Linked DNA regions of Oryctolagus cuniculus. The protein of the gene in region 1 binds, or shares a complex with, the protein of each later gene. Links are inferred from orthologs where the notes say so. Each region holds a gene or a part of one and is shown on either strand. Other genes may lie near its edges.

Evidence for each region.
Region 2: PRPF3 (region 1) and SNRPD3 share a complex: the UniProt entries of both Homo sapiens proteins name them as parts of the U4/U6-U5 tri-snRNP complex. The link is inferred for Oryctolagus cuniculus from reciprocal best matches to the Homo sapiens genes PRPF3 and SNRPD3.
Region 3: PRPF3 (region 1) and LSM5 share a complex: the UniProt entries of both Homo sapiens proteins name them as parts of the precatalytic spliceosome. The link is inferred for Oryctolagus cuniculus from reciprocal best matches to the Homo sapiens genes PRPF3 and LSM5.

The regions. Positions count from the first base shown.
Region 1 is NC_091438.1:47,654,580-47,659,206, reverse strand, and holds the start of PRPF3 (U4/U6 small nuclear ribonucleoprotein Prp3), read left to right. Parts: upstream 1-1,762; 5' UTR 1,763-1,902; intron 1,903-3,438; exon of another isoform or gene 3,439-3,630; intron 3,631-4,627. UniProt on the Homo sapiens protein: Plays a role in pre-mRNA splicing as component of the U4/U6-U5 tri-snRNP complex that is involved in spliceosome assembly, and as component of the precatalytic spliceosome (spliceosome B complex).
Region 2 is NC_091452.1:31,111,999-31,116,674, reverse strand, and holds the start of SNRPD3 (small nuclear ribonucleoprotein Sm D3), read left to right. Parts: upstream 1-1,520; 5' UTR 1,521-1,634; intron 1,635-3,372; 5' UTR 3,373-3,390; coding exon 3,391-3,516; intron 3,517-4,676. Other genes in the region: protein GUCD1, read right to left, coding at 1,195-1,405. UniProt on the Homo sapiens protein: Plays a role in pre-mRNA splicing as a core component of the spliceosomal U1, U2, U4 and U5 small nuclear ribonucleoproteins (snRNPs), the building blocks of the spliceosome.
Region 3 is NC_091447.1:23,532,709-23,537,150, forward strand, and holds the start of LSM5 (U6 snRNA-associated Sm-like protein LSm5), read right to left. Parts: upstream 3,157-4,442; 5' UTR 3,045-3,156; coding exon 2,999-3,044; intron 1,894-2,998; coding exon 1,798-1,893; intron 1,517-1,797; coding exon 1,489-1,516; intron 528-1,488; coding exon 455-527; intron 60-454; coding exon 27-59; 3' UTR 1-26. UniProt on the Homo sapiens protein: Plays a role in pre-mRNA splicing as component of the U4/U6-U5 tri-snRNP complex that is involved in spliceosome assembly, and as component of the precatalytic spliceosome (spliceosome B complex).

The sequences.
Region 1 (4,627 bases):
TAAGTCCCCTAATGTCTCACAACCATTGAGTAGATTTGGACTACAAATCCAGGTGGATTTTAAAGTCTGTTCTCTTAATCACTGTGGGGAATCCCACAGGAGTCCCAAAAATCACAGATCACCGCTTACCCATTGATCAAAAGGAGGTGGACCATGGAGAAATCCACTGGTAACCCCTAAAAAGAGTTATGGTTATAGCTCACTGCTGTCCACAAAGAAGTAAAAGCAAGAAATAAAAATGGAGTTACTTATGCTAAGCCAGAAAATGATGACATCACTTATGTCAAGCTCAGGGCTTGCCAGAAAGATGCTCCTCATCAGACTGAACAGACATCCCTGGGCAGCCTGATAACGTGTGCTACGGACGATAACCTCAAGTTTCCTTCCTACTCACATTGTGAGTGACCGCACCCAAGGAATACTCCAGATACGCCCTGTCCCAAACAACGGATGGGTGGCACCCCGGGAAACTCCAAGAGGGAGCACAACTGATTGGTGACACCCGGACCCCTACTGGAGACTCCCCCTTCAGAGTGGCAAGGATAAAGGAGAGCCTTTTCCACCGCTCTCGAGGATCATGGCCCGATGTGTGTGAACCTCTGGATCTCCACACATCTGGAGCTGAAGAGCCAGCTTGCTAGCACCCTTGCTAAGTGACGCAAGGCGATTACGGGACCAAACTCCAGCGGAGCCGCTGCCTGGCCGCCTCACCCGGACCCGTTATTGGCTGCTGCCAGACCAACACCAGACCTCTCAGCAGGGGACCTCTCCAACTCCTTGCCTTGCCCTCTGAACCTACTGCCCAGAGTGACAGCCATCCCCAAACTTCCTGCCTGTAACTGACTGTCCTGAGATCCATCTCTCCGAGTGGTAACGAAGACTTTGAACTCTGGACTTTGGACTTTGACTTTTGGTGACCGTGATACGACCCTTGAGGACGCAGCACTTATAATGATATTAGCCGTGTGTAATATGAAGGCATGTGCCTTGACCCTGTGATTAAGAATAATGTTATGTGCTTATATTATTATAGTTGGATTGCCTTTGAGACTGCTAGGTGTGTGTTATGATCTGTGGAGTACTGAATATAACAATGTAGATTGGTATGCAGAGTGGTCAAGCCCTAGTGTGAAATTGTGTGGGCAATAAAAACCTTTCATTGGAAAGACAATCTTGTGTCCATGTGTTCCTTCCTCCCTGTGCTCCGACACCTCGCCCTTAAGCCCTGTCGAGCTGCGTGACAGCAGGCATTCGCGACAATCACTAAAGCAATACTCTCAAGTGGCCAGCACACATTAGTAGGCAGTTGATAAAGATTTGTTCCGTCAATGAATGAATCTAACAATAAAAAGGTATTAGAAGCTACTTGCTTGAGTCTTCCTACCCTTGTCTTGTTCCTGAATGACCTCCGGTCCCACTGTTAACTTAGAAAAGGCTGGGGGGCGACTAAAGCTGATGATCAGGACTCCGAGAGGGTTTACTTTCTACCAGAAAGGCCACGTTTCAGCACGCACAAACAAGTCCTCCTTTTAGTCCTGTAACTTTAGAGCGTTTATCCGCCACACGAAGAAAACTAAAAATTGTTTTGTTTGCGTTTTTTTTTAAACTGAAAACCACCTAAAGTTACGCCAACTTCGTAATCTTTTTTCCCTGTAGAAACCGAAGGCCAGCAGCAACTTGGACGGGGAAACCTTAGGGCTGTGCCACGCATGCGCTCCGCTGTCGCCAGAGCGGCAACTGCGGCTGCGCAAATCGACGGCCCGCCCCCTCCCTGGTCACGTGTCAGGGGACCGCAGCGTGGCGGCGGCCGTGGCGGTAGCGACGGCAGGCCGTAGGGCGGTCAGAAGGTTTCCGGTTCCGGTGTAACGTTCGGGCTCCGTCTCAGGGGCTGAAGTTTGTGAGGTGAGTAGTGGCCCCGGGCCCGGGGAGGGTGTCTTCCCGTCGGAGCGGCTGGGGCCGGGGCTGAGTCCGAGGGGAGGAACAGGGTGAAGGGTCCAGCGGGAAGGATGCTGAGAGAAGCACACGGTTCGGGAGAGAACGGATTGGAATGAGATTGTTGAGAGGAAAAGGGCGGGGGCGGGACGGGGACAGGCTGGGGAGAGCAGCTCTGGGGTGAGGAGTTTGGACAGAACAAGGTGAGGGAGGAGGCCGGTGAGAGAGAGAGCGAGAGTAAAAACAGGAGGAGGGGGGCTCCTGGGAGCACTCGGGTTGCAGCAAAGGAGAGCGTAGAGTAGGGAATCCTTTAAGAAGATTGGATTCTGCTGCCTGCTCATTGAGCAGTCATTCTGCCTGCCTCCCTTTCTGCACGCCAGCTCTCCCCGCCCCCACTCCCACCAGCCGTTATTATGGAGCATTGGGTCAGTAGCAAAGGCTGCTGTTGGAAACTTTTTTTTTTTTTTTAACATCTCAGAGGGAATTAGGTTGAACTTGAATACACTTTTGTTAGTACAGCGCTTGGGCACACATTTCATCTGAAAATAAAGATTCTTCCGTTTATTGCTTTGGTTTTCAAATTGCTTACTCTTTCTGGCCTGTGATGGAGTTTTCGTGGAATGTAGGCCCTTGTTACAGCCAGGGTGATTGTATTTTGTTCTCTGCTGTTTGTATCAGCACCTTCTACATTGCTTGACACTTAGTATTTGAGTAAACAGGGGCTTATGGGAATTAATTTGCCCAAGGGCTTGTGAATGATGGGATTAGCTTGGGAGTAGGGGTCTGTACCATTTATTGACCATCTGTTAGGCACTGTGAAGAACATTAGAAATAAAATCTTTGTGCTCCTGAGGAATTTGGAGAGTTAGGGATTAGATTAAAATATAGACATGATTAATGGTGACATTTTATACTAACTTGCATTGAATACAAAGATTTGTGTGGGAGAGTCCTTTATAATACTATTTTCTGTGATGAATTAAAAAGTAGGGTACAGGTAAAAAGGGATTGAGAAGAGAACATCTAAAGTGAGGGCATTTTTTTTTCCCAAGCTGAGAGAGTACTTTCATCACGACTTCTCACAGAGATCCTGTAGAATGCAATGGAGAATTTGCACTGTGCTGTCCTGCAGTAGCTTAAGCTGCCGCTTGAGACATGTGTGTGCCATACTGGAGTGCCTGTGTTTGAGTCTCGCCCCTGCTTCCAGTCCACCTTGCTGTTGCGTATCTTGGGAGGCAGTAGATGATGGCTCAAGTACTTGGGTCTTTGAGACCCGTGTGGGCACCTTGGATAGAGCTCCTGGCCCCTGGCTTTGGTGTGGTCCAGTCCTGACTATTGTGGGCATTTGGAGAATGGACTCAAGTGCATGGTAGGGGTCCAAGTACTCAAGCCATCACCTGCAACCTACCAAAATGTGCAGTTATCAGGAAGCTGGAATGAAGAGTGGAGCCAGGACTCAAACCCAGGCATTCCAAGCTGGTCTTGTCTTTTTCTTTCTTTCTTTAGAGATTCATTTATTTATTTGAAAGGCAGACTGACAGAAAGATCTTCTGAATCCACTCGTTCACTCCCTAAATGTCACAAAAGCAGGGGCTGGGGCTGGGCCACCACTGAATCCAGGAGCCAAGAACTTCATCCAGGTCTCTCATGTGGGTGGCAAGAACTCAAGCACTTGAGCCATCATCTGCTGCTTTCCAGGCATGTTGCAAAGGGCTGTTATTGGAAGGGGAGTATTTGGGACTCAAACTGGTGCTCTGATACAGGATGCAGATGTCTCAAGCAGTGACTTAACCTGCTGTAGCACACAATACCTGCCCTGCAAGCAGGGTCTTACCTACTACAGCAAACACCTGCCCTTTAGTCTTGTTTTAAATTCATTTATTTATTTTTATTTGAAAGGCAGAAAAAAAACCATAGAGACAGAGATCGTCCATTTGCTAGTTCATTTCCAAAATGCCCACTGTAGCTGGGGCTGGGCCAGGCCAAAGCCAGGAGCCTAAAACTCAATTGAGGTCTCATGTGGATGACAGGGACCCAAATCCTTGAGCCATCATCCCCTGGGATTGGAAGTAGAGCTGGGACTTGACGAACACATGGGTGTCCCAAGCCACCACACCAAACTCCTGCCCCTACCCTAGTCTTGTTTTAATGTTATATGCCAGTCTTTATTGATTTGCTCAAAAGGAAGCTAGAAGTAATTTTTAGAGTTTGTTTCTTCCACAGGTTTCATTGATTTTTTTTTTCTAAGATTCATTTTTTTTATTTATTTGAAAGGCAGAGAGAGAGAAAAGGAGAAAGAGAGAGAAAGAGATCTTCCATCCACTGGTTCACTTCCCAAATGGCCACAATGGCTGGGGCTGGGCCAGGCTGGGCCAGGCTGAAGCCAGGAGCCAGGAGCTTCTTCTGGGTCTCCCATGTTGGTGAAGGGGCCCAAGCACTTGGGCCATCCTCTGCTACTTTCCCAGACCCATTAGCAGGGAGTGGGATTGGAAGTGCAGCAGCCAGGTCTCGAACCAGCGACTATATGGGATGCCAGTGTCACAGGTGGAGGCTTAACCACAACACCAGCCCTCATTGATCCTTTGATAACTACTGAGTTAGGGTTAAAAATCAAATGGAATGTATTTGTTTCTGCTTTAAAGTATGAGGATGGTTCTTGGAGAAAGTATTTGCCTTTTAAAGATGTGAAGGGGGG
Region 2 (4,676 bases), on another chromosome or scaffold:
ACAAGCAAACTGAGGCCCAGGGCACTGAGCGGTATTCTCAGGCTCCAGCCCAGAGGGGCTCAGGTTACCTTGGGGCAGAAGGAACCAGAGAATGGTAACCGTAGCAAGCAAACAAGACTAGCTACGTCCTGCAAGCTAAGGGAAGGGCCCACCCAGGTCCCTGCCCACCCAGGTTCAGTTCCCCCAAGAGAGCGGACTCTCCCAAGGCGGCTACAGGAGGACTTTTGCGTAGTTGGCACCCTCTCCACCCGGGGCCCTCCCACGTGACCGCCAGCACAGCTGACTGGGGTCCCTGCCCTGTTAGTATCAGGAAACCCCAGCTGACCAGAGGCTGGGGGAAGGGAGAAGAGCCCGAGGCAAGGGTGTCCACCTGGCCATGATTTCGCTACAGCTCCACAGCCTGGGCAGAGACGGCCAGGGACGCGCGCGGATGGACCCTGCTCCGCGCTAGGGCGGGGTCCCCCTCATTCCCCGGGGCTGAGGGCTGGGCCCTCAGAGAGAGGCACTGACCCGGCTCGAGCGGCGGCCCCGCTGCCTCCGCCTCCGTCCTCATGACCCGCGCAGCACGGGGCGCCCATGGCCCCGGCCCGCTGCGGGCTGCAGCTTCGGCTTCAGCTGGCGCAGGAGCGCAGCCAATGCGTGTCGAACGCCGTAGCCGCCGCCGCCACCGCCACAGCGGGGAGAAGCGGAGGCGGCGGCCGGGCAGCCCCAAGCCCCGCCCCAGCCACTCCAGGTCTTGGATCCGGAGGCCCCGCCCCTCCCCTAATCCCCGCCCCTTCCCAGTCCCAGACTTCGATTCCTAGAGGCTTCCAGCCTCATGATTTAAGCCCGGCCTGGCCATTCACAGTCTCGGTTTCTGGTAGCTCCGCCCCCTTACCGAATCCTCGCGCAGACGCGCGGGCCCTTCCTTCGCTCGGTCCCCCGGAAGCTCCGCCCCTTCTGAGCCCCTCCCCGAGGGCTCGGCGCAGCGCAAACACTGGCTCCCCAGGGGCTCTTTCCCTCAGCAAGCCCCGCCTCTGCCAGGCCCCACCCCTTTGCCGGCTTCAGCTGTAAGCCGGCTCCGGCCCTGTGATTGCCTAGGGTCCAGGCAACCGTACTCTGATCTCTTTAGTGCTGAGCCGGCCCCTGCTCCACTTGGTACCTCAGTTTCTCTGTCCAGACACGACACCTCCCCTCTCTGAGAGTTCCCGTTACCTGGCAGTGCCGGGTTCCAAAGATTAAATTGTGAGGGGAGGTCCCAGCCCTCATTCCCACTTCCTGCTGCCCCGGATCCGAGGACCCAGGCTGTAGATCCCCTCCTTGTCGTCCAGCCAGTCTTTTGTGAGGGGTGCTTGGAAGCGCAAGCCCCCCTCTCCCGTTTCGGGCCCCCGCGTCGGGGCTTCCGGCGGCCCCCGGGCCCTGTCATCAGCCCTCTCTTCCGGCGCCGGAACTATCGTACCTGGGTCCGCGTTTCCCAGCCGGCGGAGTAAGGAGGAAGCGGAGACGAGCTCGCGCTCTGGGACGGTCCCCGCGCGCGGCATTCTGGGAGCGCGTGGTATTCTGGGAGTGCAAGGCCCGCCATTCGCCCCGCTCACGCCTTCTCTCTCGCAGTTGTTGTCGCAGCACCGAAGAGGAGGAAGAAGGGGCTCGAGCCGGTGAGTAGGGGCCGGGGACGGGAAAGGGGAGGCCTAGGCGCTCGTGAGGGATCGGGGGCTGGGGCAGGACGCGCTGCAAGGAACCGCGCAGGGCTCCGGGAGGGAAGGAAGCGGGAAGCCGGGACACCCAGACACCCGCGTCGCCTCGCCTGAGCCTGGGGAGTGAGTTCGTTACCTCCCCCTCGTTTCTGGCTGCTTAGCCTCGTCCCTGAACTCCATCGGCGTCATCCTTGGCCTCCAGCCCCCTTTTCCGGCGCTGATGCAGCCCCTCGTGCTTTCCACGCCATTGCAAAAGCGTTTTCCGAAGTTCCTCTGCTTCTGAACTGTGTGTTCGATTTGGCCTGTAAACGCTGATACCTTTCCATTGGGTCGTTCCTTCCTTGAGATCCCGCGCTGGTTCCGTGCTCTCTGAAACGTAACATTCCAGCTCTGGCGGCGGAGGGCTGGGGATCCTCACGGAGCGAGCCTGGCTGCCCTGTCGTGTTCTCCCTTATTTCGTGCCAGCCTTGCGTCCTTACCTGGCTCAATAAAAACTCCACTGCTTGTCTCTCAACTACGTCGGCAGATCCTTGTGTTTTTCCTCCAAGATAAGCAGTTTCCTACACGTTGTCCCTTTGTGACCGCTTTGCTGTTTTCTCTTTAGCTTTAACAGTAAAGCGAATGGAAAGTCAGAGGCTGAAATAAAAACACAGCCTCCTCTCCTGGATATGTCTGGGTCCTCTGGTTGGTTGGTTTGTTTGTAAGATTCATTTATCTGAAAGGCAGAGTTACACAGTCGGGGTCGGGGGCAGGCAGAGAGAGAGATCTTCCATCCCCTGGTTCACTCCCTCAAATGACTGCAACGGCTGGAGCTGGGGGCCAGGCCAGAGTCAGGATCTTCTCCCCGGTCTCCCACAGGTTCAGGGGCCCAAGCATTTGGCCCATCCTCTCCTGCTTTCCCAGGCTATCAGCAGAGATCTGGAGTGGCAGTAGACAGCCGGGACTTGAACCAGTGCCCCTGTGGGATGCCGGTGTACCCGCTGCACCCCATCGTGGTTTTCAGGATGCAGTCACCCACAGCTGTGGATAGGCAGATGTGTTGCTCAGCATGGACGTTCCGAGCGCCTCTCTCCCAACACACAGACCACATTGGTCACTGGTTATCTTGGCCAAGGAAAAGGGACATGAGGGGCCAGTGTTGTGGGGCAGCTGGTTAAGCTGCCACCTGTGACGCTGGCACCCACGTGAGAGTGCCAGGCTGATTCTCAGCTGCTCCATTTCCTATCCAACTCCCTGCCAGTGCTCCTGGGAGGCAGCAGATAATGGCCTGAGGTTTGAGCCCCTTGCCACCCACATAGGGAGACCCAGATGCAGTTCCAGGCTTTGCAGCCATTTGGGGAGTGGCCCAGCGGATGGAAGATCTCTCTCTCTCTCTCTCTGTATCTGTATCTGTGTCCCTTACTCTGTCTCTAGGTAAAGGGACATGGGAGCAGGTGAGGAGTAGGGAGGTAGGTGGGAGATTCTTTTCCTTTCCGTGAGCTTTCCTTCTGTCCAGCACGCTGTCTCTCCCCTCTTCATATTGTGTGTATTTGCCAGGAAGGCTCCTCCAAGCCAGGAGCTGAGCTGCTCTTGTGTAGAAAATGCAGCTTTGGCACCGGTGTTAGGTTTTATGGGGTCCAGGCCTTGGGGAGACATGGTGCGCACCACACGCGGCCTCTGGCTCTGAAGGCTGGGCTCACTGCTGTGTCTCCCACCACAGCACTCTCCTCCTGCCGAGATGTCCATCGGTGTGCCGATCAAAGTCCTGCACGAGGCCGAGGGCCACATCGTGACCTGCGAGACCAACACCGGCGAGGTGTATCGGGGCAAGCTCATCGAGGCAGAAGACAACATGAACTGCCAGGTACGGGAGGCTGGCGGCGTCTCCATTGTGCCCGACGTGTGGCAGGCGCTGCCGCGGGCTCCGGGACTGTGGGCCTGAGCAAGAGACAGTACTGGGGCAAAGAACCGTATGGAGATTTGGAATAGTTAACTTTGGCCTTTGCCTTCTCCATCCCATAATTGTCCCCTCCCAACTCCCCATTTTAAAGATTTATTATTTATTTGAAAGGCAGAGAAAGAGAGGGAGAGATCTTCCATCTACTGGTTCACTCCCCCAAATGGCCACAGTGGTTGGATCTGGGCTGATCTGAAACTGGGAGCCGGGAGCTTCTCCCAGGACTCCCACGTACAGGGACCCAAGCACTTGGGCCATCTTCTACTGCTTTCCCAGGTGCATTAGCAGGCTCAGAAGTGAAGTAGCTGGGACTTGAACCGGTGCCCGTATGGGATTCCAGTGTTGCAGGCAGTGGCTTCCCCTGCTACACCACAGTGCCAGCCTCTCCCATGTTTTGGGGCCTGTTTGAGAGAAATGGTGTTACCACCTTCAGCAGAATTCTTCAGGTTCAGGGCCATTACCCTCCCACCCCCACCACCCCACACAGTGAGCAGAAACCTGTGTGCTCTTTTTCTTAGAAGAGGGGTCATGTTTGATTACTGCAGCTGCCTAGTGAGGTAAATGAGTTTGGTGATAGTCTCGGCATCCAGGAAAGAGGGAGAATGTGGTTAAAGGACTCATCTACTGAATATTGCTCTGCTAATAAATGATAGAGCAACTTTCTAACGTGGTGTCTTTCTCAAAGCACTGCTTTTTACATAGTCAGGTAAATTTAAAACAAAAAGATTTATTTGAAAGGCAGAGTTACAGCGAAAGAGTGGGAGAGATAGCTTCCATCTGCTGGTTCACTTCCCAAATGGCCGCAATGGCCGGAGCTGAGCCAAGCCAAAGCCAAGAGCTTCTTCTGGGTCTCCCACATGGATGCAGGGGCCTGAGCACTTGGGCCATCTTCTACTGCTTTCCCAGGCCATAGCAGAGAGCTGGATCAGAAGTGGAGCAGCCGGGACTCAAACCGGCGCCCACATGGGATGCTGGCACTGCAGGTGGCGGCTTTACCTGCTATGCTGCAGCACCATCAAGTATTTTTTATAGCATTATTTTCCAGAGTGTCAGCACATGTTCTTTTT
Region 3 (4,442 bases), on another chromosome or scaffold:
ATCTAGCGTAAGTCAAGGAAATCTGCTCATACTTCAGGCCCTTCTCCTCCCGGGACCAACTGCATAGAAGAAAAAAAAAAAAGAAAAAACGAGTTGATTAATGAAAACATCACTGTACCTACAAACCCTGCCTGCCACATGCTCCTCACCAACCAAGGCCACTCACCCTTCCTCATTTTCTCCAGGTCATCAATATCTGTTTCCAGTTCCCAGTACCACCAATTAATACTTAGTGTCTCAACAATGATTCCTAACCAAGCAAAAGTAAAAAGCCCAGCAAACTAATCCTTAGGCCTAACACCTTCTCAAGAGCTTGGCTTTAGGGCCCTGACTACCAGACAATCTCTTTCCCACCCTAAGCACCACCAAGCCACGGCATGAGTGAAGCAACCGGCAACATTACTAGTTAGGTCTGTAAGCCCTGTCCCACAGAAACAGTTTTAACGTGTCTTACCATTGTTATATTATTTCCATTTAGCAAAATCTGATCTAATTTAGTGATCCTTCTTCCTTCCGGTGTGATTTCACTAAATGAAGTGATAAAACAGAAAGTCAGGATAAATGGTGGTAACCAAAGGCAGCATTTTAGAAACACCTTCTCTCTCTAAAAAGGTAATGTTTGTATAAACGAAAGTTCAGCAATTATAAAGGTGATTTTCAGAGATAAAAGTTATCCACTGGGTAATGTACACTCTTCATCAAAAGCAAGAGTAGACCAATGGATATAAATAAGATCCATAGCCAAGGGGGCTGGCACTGTGGCTCAGCAAGTTAAACTGCTGCCTGCAGTGCTGCATCCCATACAGGCACTGGTTTGAGTCCTGGCTGCTCCACTTCCAGTCCAGCTCCCTGCTGATGTGCCTGGGGAGGCAACAGAGGGTGGACCAAGTGCTTGAACCCCTGAACAGATGTGGGAGACCTGGGGAAAGCTCATGGCTCCTGGCTTCAGCCTGGCCCAGCCCTGGCATTGCAGCCCTTTGGGGGAGTAAACCAGCGAATGGAGGATCTCCCTCCTTCCCTCTCTTTCTTTCTCTCTGTAACCTGGCTTTTGAATAAATAAAGCTTTAAAAAAGATTCACAGCCATGAGACTTATCTTCAAAAAAAAAAAAAAAAAAGGTGGAACCTGCCAAGATCAAATATAAAATATTTAGTAGACTCACTCTTTAACATTTTGTATTACTACTGATTTCTACCCACTAAACTACTATGTAACTAATACTTATCACTTACATTTTACATTATATAGTTAAATGTTTTCATCATCAGGTCCTTGATATGACCTGAGCCTTAAAATCCCTGCACGTTAACATCTGTTACCTTCAAGCTTTGTCTCCACTAATTTCCTAGCAATTCAGCAACAATTACATAACTTTTACAAGCATTAGTAAATAAAAGTTGCCTCTACTTCCATTTTGCTGACTAAACAGTACTTAAAATGTCCTGAATTTGAAAAAGAGCCGAGTTCTGTCATTTTTAGCACTACTCACAATTCAGTGACATCTTCCAATACCATATCTGAAAGGTGGTGTTAAGGAAATAAACACTCCAGGTTGAAACAACTCTGGTTTCTGCTTTCATTCAGTTGTAATGATAATATTTAACACAAAGGCTCATAATAAAAAGGCTGACTGTTGGTAGGAATGTGACCTTCTTCCAGTATACTCACCTCTGAAAACACCATCACAAGTGCCCTGAGATGAACTGACTTTTATCGTTAACACCCAGAAACACACTGTCTACGGTTCTGTTATTAAATAAACAGGAAAAAGCCACAGCACCACGTTTTAAAAGGATACTGACGAAGTCATCGAAGCCAAGAAGGGTGCCAACAATTTCCTTATCACTCTTCATCACAATGTGAATTCTGGATCCTATACATTTATCCACAAGCTCTGCGTGAGCAAAAAGATTATTTTACCCATTCATCATTTTAGCACATACTCGAGTGCACGCTGGCATTTGTTACTTGCCAAATTCAGTGAAAATTAAACTAGGAAGAACATCCCCCTTTGGTAACCTCGGATCTTAAAATGCAAACCTCTGCGCTCCCACTACTTAATCAGAAGCCTTTCCACTTCTCCTTTCTGTGCAGCAATCTATCATGATTGTGGCTTTATCTTTATTCCAGATCACGTGATTAATTTAGGGACACAAACACATCCCCCCAGACTCTTAAGCGCCACGAGCCCGGACACTGTGCTCATTTTCGCCCATCGCTGGATCTTCAGTGGACAGGGACGGGCATTTACGGGGCTTTCCACGAGCCTAATCACTGAAGTCCGTCAACGCAACCACTCCTCGCCGGCTACACAATGTCAGAGGCCGCTGACCGTCGTCGCGGGAGCCTCCTGTCACCTCCTCCCTCGCCAGTGAAGCCCCGCGGTGCTGGGGGCAGCTTCAGCACCTCTGGCCAGCCTGGCACGGGGGGCACAAGGTTTACTTGTCCAGTACTGTCTCCTCCACTGGCTTGTGTACCCTTCGGGAGCGATGGCTGTGGTTTAAGGTCGCTGTGGACTAGCACGCAGGAAGAACACGGGCTCTTACTGAATGGATGGATGAATGAATGAATGAATGGCAAACAGGGCTAGTTTCCAGATTCCTCCTCTAAGGCTCGTTCCACAGCGCGCTGCTTCCCGCTCAACTCCCAGACACACAACAGGGTGAACCCCATCTGGGGATCCCAAATGCCACTCCGGACACGGCGCCGCAGCGCTCCCAACAAACACGGCCGACGGTGCGCTCGCCCAGTGCGGCCCTCTCCCGCCCACGGTTCGTTCCGGGGGAGTCCGAGGAGCTGCCTCCAGGGGCAGGAGCACGTTACATCGCAGCAGCGGCCTGGCGCGCAGGAGCTCGGGAGCCGGCGCGAGCCGCGGAGGGGAAACGCTCGGCCCCACACATAGGCCCGCTACCAGCCAGGGGTGCCTCGGCCGCAACCCCGCGGCCCCCAGTCCTGAACCCCAGCCTCCCGCCCCAGCTCCCTCACAGGAAAACCATTACCTAGCGGCAGCAGCTGCGAGGGGTTCGTAGTAGCGTTAGCCGCCATGGCTACGCCGGAAGTGGCCTGCGTCCATCGACGTTCCACGGTGACTTTAAAAGAGCGCGCCTGCGCCTTTGCCCGCGGCCGGGCAGGCTCGACCAATCGCAGGCCGAGCGGGCGGCCGGCGTGCTCCACGTGGGCGGCGCCCGCGCGCTGCCTTGCTGGGGAGTGGGAGTCCTGGGGTGCTGCCCTGCAGATTCGTTCCCAGGCTTCGGAGAGACGCTGAAGATTGCTAACCTCCTGAAGGAGTTCGTCCTCCGACCGAGAGGACAGCGCATAAGGAAACTTTTGGCTTGTTTTCCCATAAAATTGTCTTTATAAAGACTAGTAAAAATCAGTATTTCCCGCCACCAATTCACTCTTTGACAGAGTTACAGTGAGAGAGACAGAGAGAGGTCTTCCGTCCGCTGGTTCACTCCCCAAATGGCCCCAACGGCCGGAGCTGGGCCGATCCGAAGCCAGGAGCCAGGAGCCTTCCCTGGGTCTCCCACGCCGGTGCAGGGGCCCAAGGACTTGGACCATCTTCCACTGCTATCCCAGGCCATAGCAGAGAGCTGGATCGGAAGAGGAGCATCTGGGAATACAACTGGTGCCCTTATGGGATGCCAGCACTGCAGGCGGAGGATTAACCTAGTGTGCCACAGCACCGGCCCCAAAAACATTCCTTTTCTTGAGGCTTCTGTCCCGGTTGCTCCTCTTCCAGTCCAGCTCTCTGCTGTGGCCAGGGAGTGCAGTGGAGTATGGCCCAAGTGCTTGGGCCCTGCACCAGCATGGGAGACCAGGAGAAGCACCTGGCTCCTGGCTTCAGATCAGCGTGGTGCACCTGCCGCAGTGCGCTGGCAGCAGCGGCCATTAAGGGGTGAACCAACGGATAAAGGAAGACCTTTCTCTGTCTCTCTCTCTCACTGTCCACTCTGCCTGTCAAAAAAAAAAAAAAAAAAAAGTAAAAGAGGGGCCAGCGCTGTGGCGTAGCAGGTAAAGGCTGCCTACAATGCCGACATCCCATATGGACTCCGGTTCAAGACCAACTGCTCCTCTTCCAATCCAGCTCTCTGCTGTGGCCTGGGAAAGCAGTAGAAGATGGCCCAAGTCCTTGGGCCCTGCACCTTTGTGGGAGACCTGGAAGAAGCTCCTGGCTCCTGGGTTCGGATCAGCACAGCTCCAACCCTTGTGGTCATCTGGGGAGTGAACCAGTGGATAGTGCCTCTTCCTCTCTGTAGTTCTGCCTTTCAAATAAATAAGTAAATCTTTTTTTTTCAAAATGGTTTACACATTTTTTTTTAAATGTAAAATTTTGTTTTATACTGAGGATTTATAATAGCTTTTTCCTTTTAACTTGTTGCTACTTTCTTAATTTATCATCCTTGCTGTATCTAAAACTCTGTAGTTTATTGAAAGCTTATT